Linked DNA regions of Macaca mulatta. The protein of the gene in region 1 binds, or shares a complex with, the protein of each later gene. Links are inferred from orthologs where the notes say so. Each region holds a gene or a part of one and is shown on either strand. Other genes may lie near its edges.

Region 1 (5,272 bases):
CCCATCTATCCCAAGGCTTCAAGGCATCACTCACTGTCAATGATTCGTCTCTCACCTAGCTGAACCTCAGCTCTGTATATCCAACCACCAACTTAACATCAGTTTTGGGCATCTCAAAAGCCAAACAGCCAAACAGCCTGCTCTCATGATATTTTCATCCCAGTCTGGTCCATTTCTAAATTCCCATCTTGGTAAACCAGCACTAACATCCATCCTTGGCCACAAGCCAGAAACCTTTGAGTTTTCCTTGATGTCTCCCTCTTCTTCATTGCCCCACATAACCCATCACTTGGAGAATGTGCAAGTTCTGCCCCTTGGACCTCCTAAATAATTCACAGATCTTTCCATGTCCATCAGCTATTTCCATGACCATCACCCTAGATCAAGCCTCCACCTTTTACTGTCTAGGCTACTCCTACATCCACCTGGCCTCTTTCCAATAAGGAATATTTTCAAGACGCTATTCTGACCATGCCATACTCTTTGCTGAATATGTCAGGGGCTTCCCATTGCACTTAGGATAAAAAGATTTTCAACACGGCCAATATGGCTGTCCTATGTTTGGTCCCTTTACCAATCTTCCTGACTTCATCTCATAGCTCCTTTTTCCTTGCTCCTCCAGCAGAGCTGGCCTTTCCTGAAGTTCTCCATCTTATCCTGCTTAATCTCATCACAGGACCTTCGCATGCAAAGTTCTCTCTAAAATATTCTCTGTCTAGTCAAACCTATTCCCAGCTCAAGGGACAGTTCCTCAGGGAAATCTTTTCTGGCCTTACTAACTAGTGTATTAGTTAGTTTCATAATATTATGTATCCTTAACAATTTGTATTATAATACAGTGATAATTTTGCATTTACTGTTATTACTTTCATAGTACAGTGATTAAATCTGTAAACTCTATTGTACTGCTAGGCACTGAATGGGCCTGCAATAAATAATTATTGCAGGAATAAAGGATGGAAGGAAGGAAATTAAGAAGGTTGAGAGGGAGGAAAAGAGGAAATGGGAAGAGAATGAATGAATAATCACCTGTATGTTCGCTTTTAGAATCACCAGAAAGAGGCCAGCCCCACATGTAATAGGAAAGTAGTCTACCTGAAATCATTCATTCATTCAACAAATATTTATATATTCTTTATTAAAGTAACTTACTTGTTTCCGATTGTGAACATAACTATTCCTCTTGGAAAACATGAGAAAATACCCAAAGTATAAAAGAGAACCAAGTCACCCTTTATTCCATAGTCCAATGACGAACCATTGCTAACATAATTTGGTGTATTTCTTTCCAGGTTTTTTCTATGTGTATATATAGTAACTAAGTGGGATCGTTCTATATATAAGACTTGTTTCTTGCTTCTTTCTCTTAATGATATATTGTTAACATTTTCCTGTGTTGTTAAGAATTCCTTGAACACATGGCGTTTAAATTGCTAAAATGTATTCTACTGCATGGATGTAGGTAACTTAAACGCCTTTCCACCTGTTGTTGGATATTTAAAGGCTTGTCAATTTATCGCTTCTGTAACATTTACACGTTTTGTGGGGCCTCAGAGGTAAACCAGGTAATGCAAGGAATCTGGGAAGAGGTGGATTTGCAAGGAATCTCGGAGGAAGTGGATTTTGGAAAAACTGGAGGAAGCTTTACCGGGGCAGCTGAAGAGAACACTTATCTCTCTGTAGGTTGCTGGGATCCGGACAGGTGTCCTCAGCATGGAACGTACTGTCGGTCAAGGTAACCAGCTCTTCATCACTCAGGTGTGTACCAGGAAGGGGTGTCTGTTCGCTGCGCAAGTTTGGCCTAAGCTCACCTGCCCTTCAAACCCTGTGGTGACGAGGCCCGAAGCCTTAAGCTCCGACCTGGCTACCGCCGCCAACCAGATGCAGTCCCCTGGGGCCACGCGCCGCCACGTGCCACCACAGGGCCCGCCCCTCCCGCTCCTGGCCACGCCCCTCACCCACTGCCCTCGGAGGCTCTCTCCGCGGCTCCGCCTCCAGGCGACCTCCGCAAGTTCTCTCAGCCCCGTGGAGTAGCCCCGCCCCCGGCCAGCGGCCCCGCCCCCGCAATCCGGGCCCCGGGGCTGCCCCGCCCCGCAGGCCACTCGGGAGGCGCGGGGGCGGCGCCCTGCGCGATGACGTGGGCGGGCGTGCGCGGTGACGGCCCGCGTCCCTGTTACTCAGCGGAGCGGCCGAGGCTGGACGACGCGGCTAGGATCGCGGAGCGGCGAGCAGACCTGGGTAACGGCCGCGGCGACCGCTCGGACCGCCCCTGTCCCCGCTGGCGGGCTTCCCTGTCGCCGTTCGCTGCGCTGCCGGGTGAGTGCGGCGGATGCCGCAGGGCCTGGGCGGCAGGCGGCCCCGTCGTGTTTATGTTATTGTGCCGCTGCCGCCGCCTTCTCCTCAGCCGTAACCCCCTCCCGGGAGTGGGGGCGGGAGCGCGCGGCGGGCGGGGGCGGCGCGGGAACAATAGCGGCGCAGAGGCGGGGGCCGGCCAAGGGGGCGTGGGGCTGCGGGACCTGGGCGCGCTCTGCTACCCGCCAGCCCGCCCGCCGCGGCGAGCCCCGCCCGCCTGTCCTCTCGCGTCCTCTTCGCGCGGGTCCTGCCTCCGCGGCGGGAGAAGAAAATAGCGGGGGGGTGGGTGGCAAGTTCTGAAACACTTCGGCAAGGGTCGGACAGAGGCGTCTCCGCGGCCCGCCGCACCCTGGCTGCCTCCGGGGCGGCGAGGAGCCGGGAAGAGGGCTTCTACCAGCGGGTCCCCAAGCCTGCCCCGCGCCCATGGGGACCGTATTTTGCTTCTCGGTGGTTTCTTTGTGCTCAGGTTCTGGGCGAAGGCAGGCAGCAGCGCTGAAAAGGGCCGGGATGGCCTGCAGCTCTGGGCTGCGAGGCACAGCCCAGGCCCGTGGTTCGGGTGGGAGGTGTCCATCCAGCTTGGCCCGAGCTTCGGTGGTCAGCGCACATTTCTCTTGAGGGTCACTCGGTGGTGACCTTTTGACTTTTTCACCCCACCCTCCCATCTCTTTGTCTCACATTTGTGTTCCGGATTCAGAGATGGTAGAACCAAGTCCATTTTAAAGTACCCTGATGAACACTTTCCGTTTTTATTTCTGAAAGTTCCCCGCCTGGTCTTTATTGCGAATTTAATAACATGTTAACTACATGGCATTGTCCAGTGATTACCGTTTTTACCTCTGAAATTCAGCGATCTGTCCAGTAGAATTCTGGTCCGTCAGTCCATTGTGTTTTGAGATAGGCATCCAGCAAATACCTCTTTGGCAATTAGAACATGTTTTTTCATTCATTCATTCATTCAACAACTGTTCGGTACCGTACCCAGATGAAGAGGTTTGGTTTGAAGGTAAAGGAAGGTATCCTTTCATGGAAGAGGATGCTTTGACTGAAGTATAATAGATGGACCTTTAAATGAGAGAATTACATAAGAGATGTCTGTTAAGGAAGGTATGGTTATGTTCTGGGTCATTTTTTAAGCAGTATATCTGGAAGTTCAAGTGTAATGTTAGGAAGTAGAATTAGATTTGGTCTAAATATACAACAGCTTTTGTTTATTTCTAAATTTTATTTTTTCCAGTCTTGCAGCCTTACAGTCATTTGTAATGGTTACCTCAGATTCCCCTGCTGTGGTTAACGTTAAACCTAGGAGGTCAGATGCTCTAAGTGAACATGTTTAGTGCTGTGCCTGACAAAAGCAAGCAATCAAAATGGGACTTCCTTGAGGGCAGGCCTGTCTTGCATCTGTTTCTCCACCACCTAGCCTGGAATATAGTAAGTGTTCAATAAAAGTCGGATTGATGAAAAGCTCTTTGTAATTGATAATATTTAAATTCAAGCCTTAAAAAAAACTGTAATGTTCTCCATAAAGTTTTGGAAGCTTCATGCAACTGTCGCTTCAGATGGCTAAATGATCAGTTCATGTACATTATCTGTTATGATGACATGGGCTTTTGAATCACGTGTAGGTCATTCACTGTCCTAAAATAAAATCTTGTCTAAATGTTTTTTTAATATGATTAATAAACTAAAGTAGGTTGTGGGGTGTGTGTTTCTGTGTATGTACTAGTTTATGTGTGTCTGTGTGTGTATGTACGTAATGCACACACAGGCACACATAAACTGGTATTTCAGTAGGGGTCTAAAATGATTGCATTTATAATTTTGTGAATATTATTTGAAAGGTTTTTGGTGACTCATTTTGTGAAAAATTGAGGACAAAGCCACATAAATGTTTTATTAGAAATATTTCTAATATTTTGGAAATGTTTACTTGAAATGTTTGGTTTTAAGTTCTAACTTGTGTTAACACATTGGTACAAAATATGATCCTAAAACTCAAAATAATTCATTTATCCAAGTTAAAGCTCTTTTCCACTCCCTGAACAGTTTAGCGTTTGTTTTGGATTTGAAAGAATACGAAAAGAGTGAACTAATTAATGAGCTTCTTATTATTTGGTGTAAAGTGGAAATGAAGAAATAAGAAAATGATACTTTTTTAAGATGAGGGATGAAAACCTTTGAGATACCAACGTTTTATTGCTTTACCTAGTTAAGGTATGTCAGCTTCTAGTAGGGGTTACTGACAATCCTTTGGCAGTAGCTCACAGTCAGCCTATGTAAAGAACCAGAGTTGTGTTATTTTGTTTTCCAAATTATTGGTTTTTAAAAATAGCTTTATTGAAATTTAATTGACATGAAATTCACCTGTTAGAGTGTATATATTTCAGTGGTTTTTAGTATATTCACAATGTTGTGCATTGATCACCATCACCAATTCCAGAACATTGTCATCACCCCAAGAAGAAACACCATATTCATTAGCAGTCACTCTGAATTTCACTTCAAATTATGCTTTAAAGTAAGAGATATAGCATCGATTCTGTTAGTAAATATATTCCTTTAATAAGTATGAAAAGGGCTCCTTTTAAGTGTCCTGTCCTGGCAGAATAGGAAACTATATCCTTCACACTCCTTTAGATCGGGGGAAATGCCATTTGGAAAGGAAGTTAGTGCAAGAATACATTGTACACAAATTAATGTGGTTAGAATCTTAAGTATTTGCTACATGCCTGATATTATCGAAGTGACCTTGGGAGGATGAGATGTTCAGCGAAACAACTTGAAGTAATTTGTTGTTAAATGACTAGTCCCCAACTATCCTAGTGCTAAGAGGTTGTTGAATAGGAGCCTGCTTCTTGTTGGTCAGCTTTGCCAGCGGGTTGAATTTTGACATATTTGAGTCATCTACATGGTTGAGATGCTT
Region 2 (4,685 bases), on another chromosome or scaffold:
GCGGATCACGAGGTCAGGAGCTGGAGACCATCCTGGCTAACACGGTGAAACCCCGTCTCTACTAAAAATACAAAAAAAGTAGCCGGGCGCCTGTAGTCCCTGCTACTCGGGAGGCTGAGGCAGGAGAATGGCGTGAACCCGGGAGGCGGAGCTTGCAGTGAGCCAAGATCCGTCCACTGCACTCCAGCCTGGGCGACAGAGCCAGACTCCGTCTCAAATAAATAAATAAATAAATAAATAAAATTTTAAAAATAAATAAATAAATAAATATTATCCTTAGTTATAAGATCTGGACATTCTGAGTCATAAGAAATTACAAGTTGCATAATTTTAGTGTTCAGTGATTTGTCTGCTGGTGCTTTGAAAATTTTTCATTCATTTGTTGTATATGTGGTAACTGTTGTATATGTTTTAACTACCAAAATTAGATAGAATTTCCCATTTCCCAAGTGTGTCAGGTGATAGAGTTGTTTAATACAGGGTGAGCTTTTTTGGAGATGTCATTTATAGGATAAGTTTTGTGAGATGCAGGCTACTTGTCAGCCTTCCTGAAAGAGAAATGCGTATCTCTCCACTCTTCTCTTGGTCTGTGCTCCAGTAGATGGTGGGATAGGGGTGGATGGAATGAAAGCTTTAAATTAATGCTTTAGATCATTTGGGAATTTTCTTTTTAGTACGGCTAGTTGGAGAGTTGGCTATATGGGAAATAGATGAAATGCTGCTAATGTTGTGGAAAACACGTCACCGCTGTCTACCTTCCTAGGAGTAATTTACCAAACCTGTGTGGCTTGGCTTAGCCAGACCAAAGTGTCTACATTGAAACATTAGTTACACATTTTGTTTGCTTTTTTTAGGGGTATGAAATTATGTTGCTTTTTTTTTTTTTCTTTTCTTCAACTAGTTTCAACTCTCCATGTTTACTGTCTGCTGATCCTGAAAGAATTGTGACCATACTTTAGTCTGTGAGTGTCTAGAGAACGAAGTTGCCTAAATCAGACATGTCAGACTGAGGCATAACAGAATTACTCTTAAGAGCAATTAAAGTACTTTACTGCAAAATAAACATTTTCATTATTTTCCATTTTTAATGTTAGAGTTGTCTCCTTTGTGTGATCATAAAGCAACAGATTTTCTTTCCAGTATGGAGAGAAGAGAGAACTGTCCTCTACAGGTGAAGGTGTACTCTAGTTTTTCACATATATTCTAAAATAAGCAACTGAAAGGATTGTGTTTATGTTACAAAAAGGGAGTTTTGTTTTACAAAATAATTAAACTATGTGAGAACTACAAAAGAATGTAATGGCCAGGCATGGTGGCTCATGCTTGTAATCCGAGCACTTTGGGAGGCCAAGGCGGGCAGATCACCTCAGGTTGAGAGTTGGAGACCAGCCTGACCAACATGGAGAAACCCTGTGTCTACTAAAAATACAAAATTAGCCGGACAAATTAGCTGGGCGTGATGGCGCATGCCTGTGATCCCAGCTATTTGGGAGGCTGAGGCAGGAGAATTGCTTGAACCCAGGAGTTGGAGGTTGTGGGTGAGCGGAGATTGTGCCATTGCACTCCAGCCTGTGCAACAAGAGCAAAACTCCGTCTCCAAAAACAAACAAAAAACAAGAATTTAACTGCATAGTTCAAAACTGTGCAACCATATGAACTATATGCAGATTATTTAAAATATAAAAGTTAAATTTGCATATGACTTTTTAGAAAAATGTCTTCCATAAAGTAGAGCTTTGTATCAATATTATTTCTTTGTATAACCATGGAATCCATTCACAATATAGGGTGGGAGGGCAGTTCTCTTTGATTCTGCCTTCCTTGAAGGCGGCTCTGTCAATTGATAAATCTCTAGTGACTTGCTCCCTATTTAAATGAAGGCATGAGTGGAAAGGTCCTGTCTCTCACTGCAGGAAACCATCTTTAAAGTCATGGAATTGCTAAAAGGATAGGGATCTATTTTTAGAACTTTGGCCTTAAAAACATTTTAAGAATATCACTAAGCCACAGTAGAGTACTACTTTTATTATGTAAATATACTTCCATTTTAAGAAAATACTGTGATTTATAACTGATTGCATGGGTGAGAGGGAAGAAAAAAGAGTGACTAATTAGAATTGTTTAGTAGAGTTGTTATATGTATTTTATTTTGCTTAGCAGATTTTTCCCTCCCAAAATGGAATGGTGGTTCACGTTTGCTTTTACAGAAAATCGTATTTATGATTGGAATTGTGAAGGAGGTGCTCCTAAGGGAAAATGTTTTCATGGCTGAATTAGGATAAGGTGTTATCTAAATCAGGAATGCCTTAGAAGCTGTATGTACCACATGTTTTCTGTGTCGGAAGTAGTATCTATGTTTTTATTTGTAAACATGCATTCTTTTGGTTGGATTTATGGAAGACTAACAAACAGAAACATGGGTTTTTAGCATTGCGGTCTGGCTGCCTGTGCACCCACAGCTGTGGAGGCCAAGACGCTTCTCTGCCTGCAGAGACTGCCCATCCCTGTTTCTCAGCAGGCTGGAAGTGTCTGCGTATTTGTCTTCCTTCCTCTTAGCACAGATACTTCCAGAATAGGGGGCACAGTCATTCTTAGGTTCAGGTCCATGTTAGGGAAACACATATAGGTTACTATGACTCCGTTTTCTGCATTCCCAGATGATAAACAGCATAAAATTAGGAACAGGAGAAACTTGGCAAGATTGGACAGTGAGTCAAGTCTTCAGACAACTTTAAAAAATATGCGCAAATTTTTTCAAGAAGCTTATCAGTTTTTCGGTACTGCTTTTCACAGTAAATAGCGGATAATGGTCGATGTTATGTCTTGTAATGGAATCTAGCTTGGAGTCCCTGGGACAACAAAGTTATGACGAGGGCAGATAAGAGGACACTTCATTCTCTGTCTCCGTCAGCCATTTGGAGCAGAAAGTTTGCATGATTGAACTTTCCTTCTGAAGTAGATCTTATTTGTAAGAGAACTTATGAAAGGAAGAGGGACATTTTAAACACGTTTCAAAACTGAGTTGCTGGTGAGGCCACAGATAGTTTTCAGAGGTTCAAGGGAATCAGGCAGTGTCTCATCTGTTGTTAATTAATGAAACGAAACTGGAGTCACTAGAGTGCAGCAGTGAATGAAAGGTCAGTGAATGGAAAAAACTGTCAATGAAGGAGGATGTCAGCAGAGTGGAACATTGTCATAGATAAAGATCAGTGAAAATGTACTCTGGCCGAGGTGGTGTTTTCTGGAAGTGACTAGGAGCCAGTTTGGGACATTTCAAGCCAAACTGAGCACTAAATGAATGTTCTGATTGCAGCTAAATCTGTTAGATATTTTAAAATATTTGTTTGTTTGAATTTGTTCTAGATATCAGTTGAAAAAGCTTCTTTTGTTTTATAATATGTTTTACAGTGTAGTGTTGTTGTTATGTTTGGCTCTTTTGTTTTGAGGCTGAACGATGGTTTCTTTCTCTCCTTTGTTTCTGTTCTCTGTCTCAGAACTTTCTAGAGCCACATTTACTTTTGAGGTCCACTGAAGTCAAAGTGACATAGGATTACTGTACTAATTAACGCTAGAGCTGGACCTCAGACAGCCTGGCTGATGGCTCAGTTTATGATTATTGCAGAATTGCGTCTCCTCTGAAAGTTGTTCTGTAGGGGGTGACCTGAAAGCCAAGACATGGCCTCAACTTTACTACCAACTTGTGTAAATGGTCATGAACAAACCAGTGACCATATTTACATTTCAACTAGTTCATCTGTAAACTTTGTTATTGGTGTCGTGTGAAATTGCCTTTAAAGAGATTCTCCTTTCTCTGGTCTTGTCAGATCTTCTTTCTTCTCCCTCATTGAAGCCTTTGAGCAATATGGCTTTGGGGAAACAAGGCTCTTCCATCAGTTTGGGAAAGGACCATGGCCGTTTTAGCCTGGTCACAGCTGGGAGGCCAGGACCCCGTGAATATCATCAGCAATGTCCCTGCATCCAAGGGAGAGTTGAAGGTAATTCCACAGGATTTAGAAAAGTAGACTTATAACCTGGCTCTTCCAGTTATTATATTACGTGATTCTGAGCCTATATTATGTGATTCTGAGCCTTATCTATGAATGGGATTAGTAGTAATACCTACCTCATAGGGCAGTTATAAGAGTGTGTAAAATACCTATAGAGTGCTTAGAGCAGCGTTTGTCACACAGTAAGCGTTCAGTACGTTCTAGGATTACATACATTATAAAAATAATCATTTATAAGGTTAAAATGAAATTCAAGTGGCATTTCCTTGGATTCTGTGGTTTCTCTTTGAGAACATTTACTGGAATATTGTTTTGTTGGAAGTATGTATGTATTTTTTTGAGACAGAGTCTCACTTTGTCACCCAGGCTGGAGTGCAGTGGTGCGATCACAGCTCACTGCATCATCAACCTCCTGGGCTCAAACAATCCTCCCACCTCAGCCTCCCAAGTAGCTGGAACTACAGGAACACACCAGCATGCCTGGCTAATTTTTGCATTTTTTTTTTTTTTTTTTAATAGAGATGGAGTTTCTCCATGTTGCCCAAGCCGTTTTGTTGGATTTAAATGACAACCATTCCATGAACTATTTTAGAGCCAGAATAGAAAAATATATGAAGGCAGTTCTTTAGAGAAACACCAGAACTGGCAGGGTGCAGTGGCTCATGCCTGTAAACCCAG
Region 3 (3,728 bases), on another chromosome or scaffold:
TTTGTTTACTTAAAACCTTAAATAAAAAAGGAAAATGATTATAAATGACCTTGATTTAGCTTAACAATGTGCATAAAAGCACTGTATGTCTTTACCATGTTTTCACTCACTTAAAAAAAAGTGTTCTTTAATGTTTTTCCTTTTGCATAATGTGCAAAATAAAAGGCAAAAAGATTAAAAGCAAATTTCTATCTTTCTCTTGCCTAGTGCTTTTATGACTCCGTTAACATTACAAAGTCAACAGGGACTATGCAAAACTTTGGTATAAATGATAATACTACTACCATCACAGTTGAGGGTTAAGGGGTGGTCAAAAGAAATGGAAGTGGGAAGAAAGATTCAGTAACACCCCCATTTATTAAAACACCAACAAATTAAAAGTGAAATAAACCACAATGAATTATAATACAATTTACACATTGAGCACAGAAAAATTAATAAATCTACTAATATTTATAAAAAAAGCAAAATCAGTCTTTTTCCAGAGACTAAAAACTGTTTTTCAGTCTGATCAACTGCTGCTACACCAACTTTAGAGCCAAATTTAATTTCAAGTAAAAAAAAAAAAATTTACAACCACAGATTTCGCATAAATGGAAACTGGTCTTTCCTTGATTTCCCTTTGAAGTCACTAATGAGTATCTAAAACTGTTGTACTGCAGGTTTTTAATCAACTTCCTGAGGGCTGTGACTGGGAGGAAGGAGCCATAACGATCTGTGAAAGAGCAGGCTCTGTACTCTGGTCCGCCATCTGGGTGAGGACTGAAGTGGCTACAGCTTCTGCCTTGGAGGTTGAACTGACTCCATTGGATGTGCTGACCGAACTATGCTGTATAGCTTCTGTATGTGGACTACTCGGCACTGAAATGTCTTCTGAACTATCATCTTTATCAGCAGCTGGGTGAAAAAAAGAAAAATTATTCATTTTCCTAAAATCTGTAAGAATGCACCATTATGCTGAGGCAATATACGGAGTAAAAAGTTAGAAAGCATCTTACAAAACTGATTAGACAAGTTGGTATTACAGGAATTGATATAGGTCATGAAGTAGGCAATTTTACCTGCAATAGGTCAAAAGAAGGCACAACCATGCATATGGAAACATCTGGGTGCCCACTGCCTTATGGAATAGAGTTGAAGAAATATTTGCTAAATAGTGTTAAAGAAAGAAAATGAGGTAGAGTTTGGAAGACAGGCTCTTACAGATACAATCAAATATAAGTATCACATTTAACAAACTCAGTCTGGTTGGCCTACATGTCATTCTTATTATAAGATAAAAATTTATAACCACATGCATAAACAAAATGAAGTCTTACATACAAATTACATCTTCAAATTATTCCCTCTGCATTCTCCAGAACTGTATTTATTCTGGCTGATTTTCCATCTATTGCAGCCATGAATGATTATAACACCTGATTCTAATGATGCATACATATGAGAATAAGCAATATTTAGAATCTAAATGCCACCAGCTGTTATAGTTGCATGAATAAATTGGGATTCAAGTAAAAATCCATACAAAACTCTAAACATTGCAACTGAAAAGATACTCAGGAAAAGGCATTCTAAGTATTTACAAAAATAAATCTGCAAATACTTAGACCTGAACAAGTCTTACACCCTTATTTTAATAGAACAGAATACAGTAATTTCATTTAGTAAAAATTTGATATAGATAACACACAAATATTTATAGTATATGTAAGTTATGAGGAACAATGATAACATGAACACCTGGAAACCGTGCCGCCAACCTAAGAGAGAACACTGCCATTAACACTTCTGCTTCCTGGAGGTTCCTGTCCTCACCAAAGGTAATCACCACTCTGACATTTCTTTAACCATTCTCTTGTTTTTCCTTTGTAGTTTTAACACATAGGTATGTATCCCTAAGCAACATAGTTCAGCTGTTTATTCTGAAACATTTTAAAAACAGTATCACACTGGATGTACTCTTTGGAACCTTGCTTTTTTCACTTGGCATTAAAACTTTTTTTTATTCAGTGTTCAGAAGTGACAATAAGTAGGCTTTTAAAATCAAATCTGAGAATGTGTATTGGCCTGCTTACTGATGGCCAGATGCCCATTCTGAAAGTCAATTAGTAAAAAATATTGTGGATATCTTATGAAGCAGGACTTAGCCTATGATTTGCAATGTAGAAGATGCAGAGGGGGATACCTGAGAGTGTCAACTTTAGCTAAAAAAAAATTATTAATCTTGTGCATTTTCTGAAATAAAGTTTTTACAGAATTTTTCAACATCTGCCTCAAATCCATGCATTTTTGAAAAGCAGGTTTTAAAATACATTAATGAGATGGAACCCCATCTTCTCTATAACATGCTATAAATCAAAACCATACCCCTGGATACTTGACCTCAAGGTACAATAAAACAACAACAACAAAACCAACCACCAGAAGTAGTATTCCTTTAAAAATCATACAAAATGGAATGAATACTTAAAAAATTATAGATTCAGATGGTATATATGCAGGTGTGTTACACGGGTATATTGTGCAATAGAAGTTTGGGCTTCTACTGAACCTATCACTGAAATAGTGAACATAGCACCCAATGGGTAGTTTCTCAACTAATGCCCCCCTTCCCCTCTACTTTTCTGATCAAGCAATAATGAATGTTATAAAATATTTATAATTCAGATATTAAAATAGCCAATCATTACATGTACAAAGAAAACAAAACACTGGCAATGACAGTTTAACTGGAGGGAATACTAAAAAGCTCTATTTGTTTATTTCACCACTATTCTTTTTTTTTTTTTTTTTTGAGATGGAGTCTCGCTGTCACCCAGGCTGGAGTGCAGTGGCCGGATCTCAGCTCACTGCAAGCTCCGCCTCCCGGGTTCACGCCATTCTCCTGCCTCAGCCTCCCGAGTAACTGGGATTACAGGCGCCCGCCACCTCGCCCGGCTAATTTTTTGTATCTTTTAGTAGAGACGGGGTTTCACCGTGTTAGCCAGCATGGTCTCCATCTCCTGACCTCGTGATCCGCCCATCTCGGCCTCCCAAAGTGCTGGGATTACAGGCTTGAGCCACCACGCCCGGCCCACCACTATTCTTTAAAAGAACAACAGGCTGACGTTTCCCTGAATGTTGAGTTCAAGGGATACACCAGCTTTTAAAAATAAAGAGGCTGATCTGTGATGAGTGGTATAAGGAAATGTAAATACATACTGGAGGCAACAACTCAAAATGAAAACAGTAAATTATAAAGGATGAATGCTTACCTACAGACTTTCAGAATTAGTAAAAGCAATGTGATATATTTGCACCTATGTCCAGTTCTAGGTGAGGGGAGAAAATGACTGGTGTAATCACAAGCACTAGAGAGATACAGAAAGCCATGGTGTACTCAAAGAGCCACTTCTAGCTCTACCTAAGCTAAAAGAAACCAGCTGTTTGGCAATTCCGTAATCTTGAAAGTTCTCTACCTATGTCCACAAGTTTCTTTTTCTTATTTGAGATAGGGTCTCCCTGTCACCCAGGCTGGAGTATTATGGCACAATCACAGCTCACTGCAGCCTTGAACTCTTGGGCTCAAGTGATCCTCTTGCCTCAGCCTCCCAAGTAGCTGGGACTATAGGTGTGTGCCAAATTGTCTGGCTTTTTTAAACTTTCTGTGGAGATAGGGTCCCGCTATTTCACCCAGACTGGTCTTGAAGTCATGGGCTCAAACAATCTTCCCGCCTTGGGGTCCCAAA

The links.
Region 2: the proteins of MAPK8 (region 1) and DUSP16 are in contact, whole or in part, in a crystal structure (PDB 4YR8), measured with the Homo sapiens proteins. The link is inferred for Macaca mulatta from reciprocal best matches to the Homo sapiens genes MAPK8 and DUSP16. Residues at the interface, in NP_001310257.1 of Homo sapiens: Arg189, Val196, Ile197, Leu198, Gly199, Asp229, Ile231, Trp234, Gln253, Thr255, Val256, Thr258, Tyr259, Val260, Asn262, Arg263; in NP_085143.1 of Homo sapiens: Phe215, Leu267, Asp268, Tyr271, Lys275, Pro279, Ile281, Ser282, Pro283, Asn284, Phe285, Asn286, Leu288, Gly289, Gln290, Leu292, Asp293.
Region 3: the proteins of MAPK8 (region 1) and ATF2 are in contact, whole or in part, in a crystal structure (PDB 6ZR5), measured with the Homo sapiens proteins. The link is inferred for Macaca mulatta from reciprocal best matches to the Homo sapiens genes MAPK8 and ATF2. Residues at the interface, in NP_001310257.1 of Homo sapiens: Asp112, Ala113, Gln117, Val118, Met121, Glu126, Arg127, Tyr130, Leu131, Tyr133, Val159, Lys160, Ser161, Asp162, Cys163, Val323, Trp324, Asp326, Ser328, Glu329; in NP_001243019.1 of Homo sapiens: Phe36, Val44, Lys48, Met51, Thr52, Leu53, Lys54, Phe55, Gly56, Pro57.

The regions. Positions count from the first base shown.
Region 1 is NC_133414.1:60,852,732-60,858,003, reverse strand, and holds the start of MAPK8 (mitogen-activated protein kinase 8), read left to right. Parts: upstream 1-2,172; 5' UTR 2,173-2,316; intron 2,317-3,586; exon of another isoform or gene 3,587-3,780; intron 3,781-5,272. UniProt on the Homo sapiens protein: Serine/threonine-protein kinase involved in various processes such as cell proliferation, differentiation, migration, transformation and programmed cell death.
Region 2 is NC_133416.1:14,928,099-14,932,783, reverse strand, and holds part of DUSP16 (dual specificity protein phosphatase 16), read left to right. Parts: intron 1-3,824; coding exon 3,825-3,995; intron 3,996-4,685. UniProt on the Homo sapiens protein: Dual specificity protein phosphatase involved in the inactivation of MAP kinases. Dephosphorylates MAPK10 bound to ARRB2.
Region 3 is NC_133417.1:80,008,161-80,011,888, forward strand, and holds part of ATF2 (cyclic AMP-dependent transcription factor ATF-2), read right to left. Parts: intron 898-3,728; coding exon 671-897; 3' UTR 1-670. UniProt on the Homo sapiens protein: Transcriptional activator which regulates the transcription of various genes, including those involved in anti-apoptosis, cell growth, and DNA damage response.